2 linked regions of the Drosophila melanogaster genome follow. The protein of the gene in region 1 interacts with the protein of each later gene in a pairwise test. Each region holds a gene or a part of one and is shown on either strand. Other genes may lie near its edges.

The links. Proteins that work in one complex are often made in the same cells at the same time.
Region 2: the proteins of Cyp312a1 (region 1) and Fkbp12 interact in a two-hybrid assay, tested with the Drosophila melanogaster proteins (one large-scale study listed by BioGRID).

The regions. Positions count from the first base shown.
Region 1 is NT_037436.4:18,128,162-18,135,373, reverse strand, and holds Cyp312a1 (cytochrome P450 312a1), read left to right. Parts: upstream 1-2,684; 5' UTR 2,685-3,307; coding exon 3,308-3,936; intron 3,937-4,243; coding exon 4,244-4,803; intron 4,804-4,863; coding exon 4,864-5,207; 3' UTR 5,208-6,434; downstream 6,435-7,212. UniProt on the Drosophila melanogaster protein: May be involved in the metabolism of insect hormones and in the breakdown of synthetic insecticides.
Region 2 is NT_033778.4:19,287,854-19,292,300, forward strand, and holds Fkbp12 (FK506-binding protein 12kD), read left to right. Parts: upstream 1-2,255; 5' UTR 2,256-2,335; coding exon 2,336-2,372; intron 2,373-2,532; coding exon 2,533-2,603; intron 2,604-2,664; coding exon 2,665-2,883; 3' UTR 2,884-3,109; downstream 3,110-4,447. Other genes in the region: AANATL6 (arylalkylamine N-acetyltransferase-like 6), read left to right, coding at 130-798; AANATL4 (arylalkylamine N-acetyltransferase-like 4), read left to right, coding at 1,273-1,947; mip40 (Myb-interacting protein 40), read right to left, coding at 3,441-4,244. UniProt on the Drosophila melanogaster protein: PPIases accelerate the folding of proteins. It catalyzes the cis-trans isomerization of proline imidic peptide bonds in oligopeptides.

The DNA.
Region 1 (7,212 bases):
TGCAAGTGGGTGGGTGGATGGGAATGCCTCAGTTGAGTGGTCGAGGGCATGTGTGAGTGTCGTGGCTGATAATTTGCAGTTTAATTACAGAACACCGATGGCCACAAACAACAATGACGAGGGGAAGATCGAGTTACCCAGCACTCGATAGTCAAATACTCTAGCCGCAACTCTCTTATAACTTCAATAAAATAAATACATATTTAAAATCGAATAAGCCAAGTGGATTCTGTATTTCCTATTTAAGTATGACTGGATCCGGGTTTTGAAGTAAATAATATTATAAGACTTGTGACCATACAAGTACAATACATAGGAATGCAAAGAGTACTCATCGCATGGCCAACACTTTGCTGCATAAATTCAAATTAGTTTGGTACAGTCCTATCCCAATATCAAGTCCTTGCTGGACTCATCCTATTCGAGCCTCACCTCCTTTCGTGGCCACGCATCACTTTTAATTTCGATGTGAGACAATGTTCTTGGTCCTGTCAGGTGCATAACTGCATTATGTCCTTGTATGTGGCATAGGCGTCCTGTTCGCGTGCGGAGGGGAGGATCACTGTTTATTGGCGTCCATTAGATAAGGAATTTACGCGAACGCAATTGTTGGGCTTCGCTTCGACTTCAAAGGGTTATTGTCGTGCTTTGTCCATTTAGTTCCGATTAGTGGCATTGAGTGGCATCCGCGATTATGCGGAGGCATTGAATTGAATTTATATAGGCGCAAGGGGCATGAAATATTCGAATGCAATAGAACTATGTTTTTTAAATTTTAAAGTATTTATGTCAGTAATAAAATTTTAAATAAATTATTTATAACTTCAACATAACTGCGTTAATGAACCTAAAGGTATGCTGCACATTTTTTCATTTTCTTATGAGAACTAAAATACTTGCAACATTCTTATGTTGCACACATCTTAACTAAATAGTAAATAAACACAGTTTATTTAATATTAGGAACTCAAATAAGTATTTATTTCTTGGCTGAAACTAGGTTTAACGTACTTTTTATTAATAAGTTTATAGTAATACAAGTTTGTTTACTCATTTGTTATACACACTATCGTGATTACACATCTGAAAGCTGAGCCTAATAAAATAATTTTAATTAAAATCATACGCATGTCATTCAATGTCCTCTTATTTAAATAAAAATTTCTGAAACGCCGGAAGAGAAGGGAACTGAAACACAGAGATATGTATATACACAAGTAGCGAATTGAAGGATGAATTATTTTTGTATAAAATGTTGACCAGCGAATATTAATTGCAACCCAGACCCATTCGCTTTAATTACAATTACTCTTGTTCTTTTATTGTGTATTTTGTCGGCTGATAACTTTTTTCGTGTTAATTAGTGTAATCGTGGAGCAGGGGAACTACCTTAGTTATTGTACCTGTCACTATTTGTATATTTGAATTGAATGGCAGTTGGTCGAGAGGAAAACCAACAACACAAACTCCTGAAGAGTGTATTAAATGACAATCACAATAAAGTTCCCATAACTGTAGAGCGAATTTTAATGAATGTGTATTCTATGCGTAATAATGAAAATAAAACAGATATTATATAATTGACAAATATGACACACTGTTTACGCATTAATTGCGGGGAGTTAAAGCCAGCTATACTCGTACAGTTTTGTTTGTTCTTAGCTGATGACTCTGATAATTGTAATTTTTTTCAATTCAAAACTTTAATTCAATAAATATTCACTTCATGTTCGTTAACTGTATTTGTTGTGGTATTTTTTATTGGCATATTTCCAAGCATTTATCTTCATTACAATTTTTGTGGTAGGAAACTGATCAATATCCTGGTCAGCCCACTTCGTTATTCCCAAATCAGGTACTTTCTGTAAGCTAAATTCTCTTATCTTTGTTTATAACATTTTAGGAAATTGAAATCACAATTTCTCTCCACGTATGCACATAAATGGGTGGCCCCAGCGCAATAATTCGTCAAGTTTTATGAGCTTTATGAAATTGGTATGCAACCGACAAAAGTACAATCGAAATTATAATTCAGCAAATTAAACGATGCAGCATCGATGAAATTGAAGTGTATTTGCTTGCGAATTTTGGCATGACGAATCTTGAGTTCAGGGATGTTACTACTTAGTTAGATGTTGTAAAAAAGAAGAACTCTAAAAGCTCAACTATTACAATGGAAACAAAAGTCAATATATTCTAAAAGTATTTTTGTTTTCTTGAAGTTTTGCTATACAATTGGTTACCGTGAAAAATATACTAAAATGGCTTAGCTGCAATTTGCTATTACAAGATTATATGATCCTCATACTTCATCTATATTCATCATCATATATTTCATTAGGTATTCTTCTACGGCTGCAGTAATTGGAACACTTTAGTGTCTTATATCATAACTTTAAAGTTAAAAGTAGCAAATGTATAATAGAAATTTCAAAATAATAGCGAAAATTTGAAGAACTTAGCAATGCTATCCTAGAGCATTTCGAATCCGACTTAGAAATCTACGATTCACCGATTCTCAACGTATTGTTTACATCTCCGATGCCCGATGTTAAGTACTTAAGCGACTGGGGGGCGAGCAAAAAAGAGTCACTTCAATTTCGCTTCCACATCGATTTGAATACGCTTATAATATACATATTCGGGTGTAAGAAATTCGTATAAATAAATATGCGCAGTGTTAATAACGCAGTCGACCCGACAGTTGCTCTTAATCGCGGCGCTTTTGCGCAATACTAAGCCAGTGCAGAATATTTAAGATCGTTTAGTTTGTGCACTCAAAAAAAAAAAAAAAAAGAGAACACCAGACAGTGGTTATTTGAAGATGTTAATGTAAAAATCCAATACTACTGTGAATGGACTAATATTATAAGAGTCAAATGATTTTATTCAAATACTATTCACCTTTTGACGGGTTCGCTTATGAATTGAAATAGAATGGTGTTAAAAGAAAAGACATAAAATGCACATCGATAACTAATTTTATTTGGCACTTTTATGTGACAATTAATCATTTAGACCGCGCATAATATTACAAATTGAAAAAACAAATGAATGATCACATTTTACTGTGAATAGTAAATGACAGCTTGTGAGAAATATGTCGCTGTACACTATTTTTTAAATTTATACACTGTGCACCGATTCGGTTTGTTTTTTCTTGTGTAAATTCGCTTGTTACCCAACTTTTATGACCCTTGGGTCCGGTGACCCTTTAGTAACCGTCTGATCTTCGCGTCTGTGTTCCGCTTAAAACGCTTGATGCGACGCTTCAACGAGGCAGTTGCTCTTTAGAACGTCCGTCGCAATGTTCTGGCTGGGATTCGGATTGCTGTTGCTCGCGTTGTCCCTATACCTGCTATATGTCTTCGAGCGGCAGAGCAGGATCGACCGGCTCACCCACAAATGGCCAGCCCCACCGGCCCTGCCATTCATTGGCCATCTGCACATTCTAGCCAAATTGGTGGGACCGCATCCACTTCGACGAGCCACCGAAATGATCAACGAACATCTACACGATCATCGAGCAAAACTATGGATGGGCACTAAGCTCTATCTCGTGGACTGCAATCCCAAGGATATACAGGCTCTGTGCAGTGCCCAGCAGCTGCTGCAGAAGACCAACGACTATAGGGTCTTCGAGAACTGGCTCTGCGAGGGTCTCTTCACCAGTGGATTCGAGAAGTGGTCCCATCGCCGGAAGATCGTAATGCCGGCCTTCAACTACACCATGATCAAACAGTTTGTTGCCGTCTTTGAGAAGCAGTCGAGGATTCTTTTGACGAATGTCGCTAAATTTGCCGAGTCCGGGGATCAAATTGACTTTCTGCAACTGATCAGCTGCTTCACTTTGGACACTATTTGTGAAACGGCCCTCGGAGTCTCTGTGGGTTCGCAGTCGAGCGCCAAGTCGGAATACCTCGATGCTGTTAAATCGTAAGTAAACTACACGTGTATTACAAGTCCCTTAGAGACAACTTAGTTTGTATTTAATCAGCAACTACGGTGTGATGAATCATAAAATTTTCGCACATTAATTAAACAAAACAAACAGTTGAGAAGATATAAAAGACTCATCCAGCACGCTTGTTCAATAAAAATTTCGTAACCCATTATAGATAGCTTAATTGTTTATTAGTCAGACCTTTTTTTTATTTACTTACTTGGAAGCCATAGAAAAAATACAAGTTACAGGTTACGTTAGTTTTTAATATTGATATTATACATCTTCGTTTGCTCACAGAATCCTTGTCATCATCGATAAGCGACTGAAGAACATCTTCTACCGCAACTCGTTTATTTTCAAACGCACATCGCATTATAAGCGAGAACAGGAGCTGATAAAAACGCTTCACGGATTCACAGAGGGCATTATACAGAAACGTATTGATGAAATCAACCAGGATGCAGAGAATCGCAACTACCAGAGCAGTGATGCGGAATTGGACGGAGTGAAGCGGACCCTATGCTTTCTGGACACCTTGCTACTGTCCAAGGGTCCCGATGGCAAGCCTTTGACAGTCAAGGATATTCGCGAGGAAGTGGACACCATCATATTTGGGGGATTCGATCTCACGGCCACCACCCTCAACTTTTTCATGTATAACATGACTCTTCATCCGGAGCACCAGCAGCGATGTCGCGAGGAGGTGTGGTCGGTATGCGGCAAGGACAAAAGTGAACCCATCTCCATAGAGCAGGTGCGCCAACTGGAGTTCCTGGAGGCGTGTATAAAGGAAACTCTGCGGATGTATCCTTCAGGTCCACTCACTGCCAGAAAAGCCACAGCCAACTGCACAATCAGTAAGTACATATTGTTATTTGTTCCTAGTTATATATATACAAATATTTTAAACTTTCTAGATGACTTCTTCATACCGAAGGGTAGCGATGTAATCATTTCACCAATTTACATGGGACGTTGCAAGGACTTCTTTCCGGATCCGATGGTCTTCAAGCCAGATCGCTGGGCAATTGGAGCGGAGCCCAAAATTGAGGCCACCACTTTTATACCCTTTATGGCGGGGGCTCGGAGTTGCATGGGCCAGCGGTATGCGATGGTCATGCTCAAAATGGTGCTAGCTCACCTGCTGAGGAACTTCCTGTTCGAGCCCCTTGGCGAGCGACAGGTGAAGTTGAAGCTCAACTTTGTGATCACGCTGCATACCGTTGAACCCTATCTATGTAGAGCTAAAAATCTAGATTGAGGCTAGCCAAAAGTTTTTCACTTAGCCAATACGTTTGTCAATAAAGTTAGGTATTATTGTAGGTACATTCCGCTTATTCTAGTCTTTTGTGTATTTTTTTTCCTTCAGTTAAGCTGCTTCTACATGGCCCAAAGATTGCAGGTATTCTTTCTGTAAATTATGCCTCCTTAATTAATTCAATCAAACAGATAGCACACTCTTTTTAAAGCATTTTTATCAGGGATTCTTTTAAGAAAGTTTAATTTACGAAGGCTTTTCAACTTCAAACTTATTATGAAGCTTTTAGAATAGACCGCTATCAATTCGTTTCACTTGGATCCTTTCAAAGCGTTTACGTTTCATTGCGACGCACAACATTTCCGTTTTTAATGATATACTCGTTTAAAAAAAGAATTCTATACGATTTGAAGTATTTTTTCGCCTGCTCATTTTTATGCGATTTAAGCAGGGCGCGTTCGTCTAGAAAATAATTTCTGGCTGGCGTGGATTTTTATTGTGGCAACCGAGCAGCGGAAAATCAACAAACATTTCCTGGCGCTGTAATAAATAAAAATGCATAAAGCAGCCACCAAACCGTCGCCAGTCAGTCACTCGGTCTGCCTGATCCTGCCACATCCTGCCTTATCCTGGGGAAAATACACACACTCCCACTCCCGCCGAATCGCCATTATCCACCAGCATCATCATCGAATTCCGGTGCAAATTATGAGCGTTGCCTGCTTATTATTGCGACAGCCACGGGGGCGCAGGATAAGGCGGAATATAAAATGCAATTTATTTAAATAAAAATCAAGTTTAATTCGCAGTGTCGTAAATTTTTCTTTTATTTTTTTTTTTATACTCTTCAGCTCGTCCCGGGCATTGAATTTCACGCTTTTGTTAACAAGCGCATAAAAGTTTGTTCTATCTGCCAACTGATACGATTCTGGCATTCAGAAGCCCCAGCAGAAGGGGTTAGAAGACTGTTGAACTCAGTGGCTGATTGGTGGTGTGAGTTTCGGGGGTGGGTTGATTCTCATATTATGGCCGGTACATGAGAACGGAAACGATTTCAGCCAATTTCCAAGCATTCCAAATCGATTTTAATCAATGATAAAAAATACATAACAAAATATCAAGCCATTTTTTAACAGAGAAAATAGCTTAAAGGTTTTGAAGAGTTACACCAGTAGTTGGTAGAAATAATACTGTAATTAAAGAATATTTTCAAAATGCCAAGAAAATTTTATTTCTAAACATACAACAAACAATGTATTAAAATGTGTTAAATATAAGTTGTCTTAAGTTAAATAATCAATATGCGAAATAAATGTCTGGTCAAACGACAAAATAAAAAGGTGAACAAATTTTTATTCTTAACATAATTTAAATAATTTTCCCGCTAAACCGGATTTTAATTTTGAACCCGGTAACTTTCGTTTTTCGTTTTAACGAAATAAATTTTGTAACTTAAAAAAATGAGTGCATTTGATGACGCCCAGTTGAAATTTTATGACCACCCCCACCACCTTAGGCCCGTTTAAAATCCATCTTGAAATTAAAATATGCGCCTAAGGAACATGTTCCCAAAAACTTTGAGTGCTTGGCCAACATTTTACGATCGTTTTATTGGTTATGCAATCGCGGAGGGAGGCTTTAACCCTTCTGTTGGCACCCGCCATAACTTAATTATCCATATGAATCCTTGCCGGCTTTTATGGCGACCCAACCCCAGCGGCATTAATTATGATGAGTACTTGGTGGTGTCTCTCCTTTTTAGTGTCAGCTGTCTCATATTTTTATCTATCTTAATTCGCAGATCTTCACGGTGGCTTTCTCGTCGTGTCGCCGCCCATTAAAGCGATATGGAATCCAGGTCCGAATCCTAATCCCGGTCCAGACTTGACTTGATGTTTTATTGCTGCTGACTGGGCGCAGTTTTCATTTACACAATTTTTATGCCCAGCATCTGTACATCGGGCATAAGTTTATGATGGAGCATAATTCACGGCGTGGGCATCGTCAA
Region 2 (4,447 bases), on another chromosome or scaffold:
AACAATGGAAGTTCTTGAACTTGTATTTGTAGATAACTCAGTTCGGTTTCTTTAAAAGGCTCCTGCAGTCATGTAGAATGAACCATAGTATACCAAGCCGGGAAACCAAACATCGCTGCTCAGTCCAACATGATTCTTAGTCAAAATGATGGCATAACCGTACGAGTTATGAAGGAGGACGACTATCCAAGAGTGAAAACCTTCATGACGGACTACTTTCACTACGACGAGCCCATGGGAATGGGTCTCGAGGAGCCCATTCACCTGCAGCATGAGGAGGAAGTGGATAGGCAATACCTGGCGGTGATCAGGCAGGGACTATCCATAGTGGCACTGGACGATAACAACGGGGGACTACTGGTTGGCATTGCCGTGGCGGAGACGATGGATCCCATCGAAATGGCCAAGCAGCACAAGGAAGCCGAGGAAATGGAGCCAAATGCTTTGGGTCGCAGCAGGAAATTTATAGCCAAAGTGGAGCGCGAAGCCAACATTTTCGAACGCTTCGGAGTCTCCTCCTACCTGAGTCTGCTGGTCATCTCCGTTCACCCCTCAATGAGGCAAAGAGGTATCTTGGTCATACTTTCCAAATGTCTCTTTAAATTGGGTCGCCTGCGGGGACACACTCTGTTCATCACCAGCGGAACCAATCACTACTCCTCCCGGTCGGCGATGAAAGCGGGATGTGAGTGCATCCATTCGGTGGCCTATGCTGACTACAAGGACGAGTTGGGTCGGCCGATATATAATCCACCAGCGCCCCATACCCACATTCGGGTCTTGGCCTCAAAAATGTAAAAATTAAAATAATTTATTAATTAATTATTACTTTGGCCTTGGCAATTGATAAAGGTCGTCGAGCTGGAAACGCAAGTCCATATGGATCAAATAAAGTAATAAAATGTAGAACGGTCTACTTTATTGTTCAGATATTGTGTTGATTATGTATTTATCGACACATGACCTTGCAATAATTACAAAATCTGATATTAAGTAATCACTTTCCACTCGATGTATTTATCCTCAAAGATTTTGGGTCAGAAAACCATATTCGAAAAATGTTTATTACTAAAAGGATAAGTCAGTCTGGCACTTCATTAAAAATAAAACCAAAAGCCGTTGGAAACAACTTTCTCTTCGCCAAACAGAAACAATCTATAAATATGATAAGCCATTATCAGTGATAAGCGCCGAAGTATAAAAGCCATGTACACATCGGCGTCCTCTTCTGTCTTAAGAAAAGCATATAGAACGAATTAGCTCCGGATCGCGATGACTCCCACGACAATAGATGGCGTCACGATACGCATCATGCGCCCAGAGGATTATGCACAGGTAAAAGCCTATATGGAGGCTGAGTACTACACATCGGAGCCTCTGTGCCAGTCCAGCGGCGAACCCGTTCACCAGCAGAACGAGGAGATCAACGACGCCTTCAACCAGTCGATAATCGCCGAGGGCACCAGCCTTTTGGCACTGGATGAAAACGATGGTGGCCGGATTGTGGGTCTAGTTCTGGCATGTGCCAGTTATCCCGATAATGTGAATGCAGGAACATTGAATTTGAAGCTCGAGAATGTGGAGGATAACGCTTGGGGTCGAATGTATCATTTACTAATGAAGGCCAAGCGCGAAGTCAATCTGTTTGAGCGCTACGACATCCCGAAGGCGCTCTACTCCCACGTGACCAGCGTGGCCTCGTGGAAGAGGGGCAAGGGCCTGGGCTCCCGCCTGGCCGCCACCCTGATGGAGCTGGGCCGATCGAATGGTTTCCCCCTTATGATGGCCTTCTGCACTAGCTTCTACTCCGCTCGCCAGAAGGGGGCCTTGGGCATGGAGTGCATCTATTCCATCGACTACGCCGACTATAAGGACGATGAAGGACGAGTGATCTTCACACCGGCAGCCCCACACACAAAGCTGCGAGTGATGGCAATCAAACTGTGACAGTTGATAACAAATAACTGAGTCGAGGAATTTAAATAAATTATATAACTATAGTTATGTTTATTTAATACTTAGCACACTTTTGGGGGACCTATACAAGTTGACCAATGACCAATGTGTCTCGGACTTTAAGATAAGAGGCAAGATCTTGCACTGCTTTATTCTTTCGGTTCATAGTAAACAATTCAAACGGACGCGCCAAAATACAAAAACGTCCTTATCGATAACTCGGAAAGCAATTGGTTTTGATAATTAATCAAATTGATGTGTGCGATAGTTTCCGCTCACCGACCATCGCCCACCGCTAGCTGTCATTCGGCGACGCGACGAACTGAAATCAACGTGCTTATTTTCCGCTCGGTAATTTGCCAGAAAAAAACTAATCGAAATGGGCGTACAAGTAGTTCCAATTGCTCCTGGTGATGGTGAGTATCCAATGATTGGGTTAGAATCCGCAAGAAATGCCGTAAACTACCGGCCTTTCTAACCTATTTAGTGCATTTTCGCAATGCACAATTCGGAAATACCTGCGACAATATGGTCGTCCCGCTCACACACATCCATTTTTGCATTCCCCGCCCGCAGGCAGCACCTATCCCAAGAATGGCCAAAAGGTCACGGTCCACTACACCGGCACCCTGGACGATGGCACCAAGGTGAGTACGAATCCCGATCCTCGCCATCCCCAGCTAATGATCCGCCTTGAATTCCACGCAGTTCGATTCGTCGCGCGACCGCAACAAGCCATTCAAGTTCACCATCGGCAAGGGCGAGGTCATCCGTGGCTGGGATGAGGGAGTTGCCCAGTTGAGCGTCGGCCAGCGCGCCAAGCTGATTTGCTCGCCGGACTATGCCTACGGTAGCCGTGGCCACCCCGGCGTCATTCCGCCCAACTCCACCCTCACCTTCGACGTCGAGCTGCTCAAGGTCGAATAGGCGCACAGGATGCCCAATGTGTATACCCCAAACCAAATCGCAGGGGGTTGCGGACCGGCGCACCGGCGACGAGCCGAAGAACATCATAATCGGAACCAGAACAATCCAGCAGCATTTGCCAACCCAAAATAATAATGATAACTTCATACACAGCTCTAAACTAGAACTAATTTAACCGCAAAGGGAACGCATCTTCTACCAATACAAATAAACATTTATTCAAGTCAATGACAAATGTCTTTCTTATCAAAAATCTTGGGATAATCCAATCAAATCAGCTGCGGTTGCCTTTCCGTGCTGCAATACAAATGCATTTCATATTATTTTTTAATCAGGAAAATATGCAAATATAAAAACGCTTTATCATTCTCTTGATAGACTTGAAGTGGTCTACTTGACAAATTTGATTTTATTTTATATAAGTATATAAAGTGTACAAGCATCTTATTTGCATATATATTCGATTTGGAAACAGGATTTTTTTTAATTCTTTGTGCACAATTAATCCAAATTATTTTTCATTTTCTATACCACTTCCAAAATCACCTAGATACGCTTCAGTTTTTGCAGACCAAGCTCATAATCTTGTCAATAACTTCATATCGCTCCTTTTCATACTTCTTGATATGCTTTATCCAGTGTCCGCGCACTTTCTTCCAGCGGTTCATATTGGAGGACAGAAGATCGGAGGTACTGGCACCTTGGAGAGCCTTTTCCCGCTTCTTGTCCTCCTGGCTGAACTCCAGACGAGGCGGAATTATGGGCAGATCCGTGGACTTGGCCTGCGGGAGCTGGTTGATCACCTTTATCTCGCCGCTTTTAATTTGGGACAGGATTTCTTCGCCGTTGTCCTCACGTTTGGTGGCCGTGAGTGAAGCATCTGTTTGAAATGCACCCACAGCTGGATTCTTGGGTTGATTTGCCATCCATGCGCGGCATATGGGGTACAAAGGAGTCTTATCCTGGTATTTGGACAGGTCCAAACTTCGCTCAAACAGGCGCATTACGTAGGTCTCGCCGGGCGCCTTCTGGGCGACTGCCGCTGCTCCAACGCTCTTCTTGTAGAGCACTCTCCTGGCCTTGATGCGTCCTCCGGCGCCGGCTGCGGCTGCACTCGAGGATGTCGAAGGCTTCTCGCTAGAGCCCGACGTGACCGTCTTGACTTTCGGATCTAGCTTTACCTGGTACTGACGCTGCTGTTGCTGCTGGATGAGCAGCTTCTTCGAGGGACGGCCCCGAATGGGCAAATCCGACTCTGCGTCGTCGTCCGGCGGCAGGTTTGTCGTCTCTGGTTTCTGCTCCTCACGGCGCGACTCCCGCAAGCGCAGGGCCGTTTCCTTCTTTTTCGGCACAGTCTTCATTTCCAGAAATCTTGTATTCGACACGAAAATTAAGGGAAAACAATTTCGAATGCCGAATCGGAAATCAAACGGACTTACGGCGCTTCACAACACTGAAACACCACTTCGCCACGCAACACTACATAAGTCAGTGGTATTTCAAAAAATACCATAAATTAAAGAAAACAAACGGTCTTGGCGCCTAACGCTAGCTTGAGAAATAA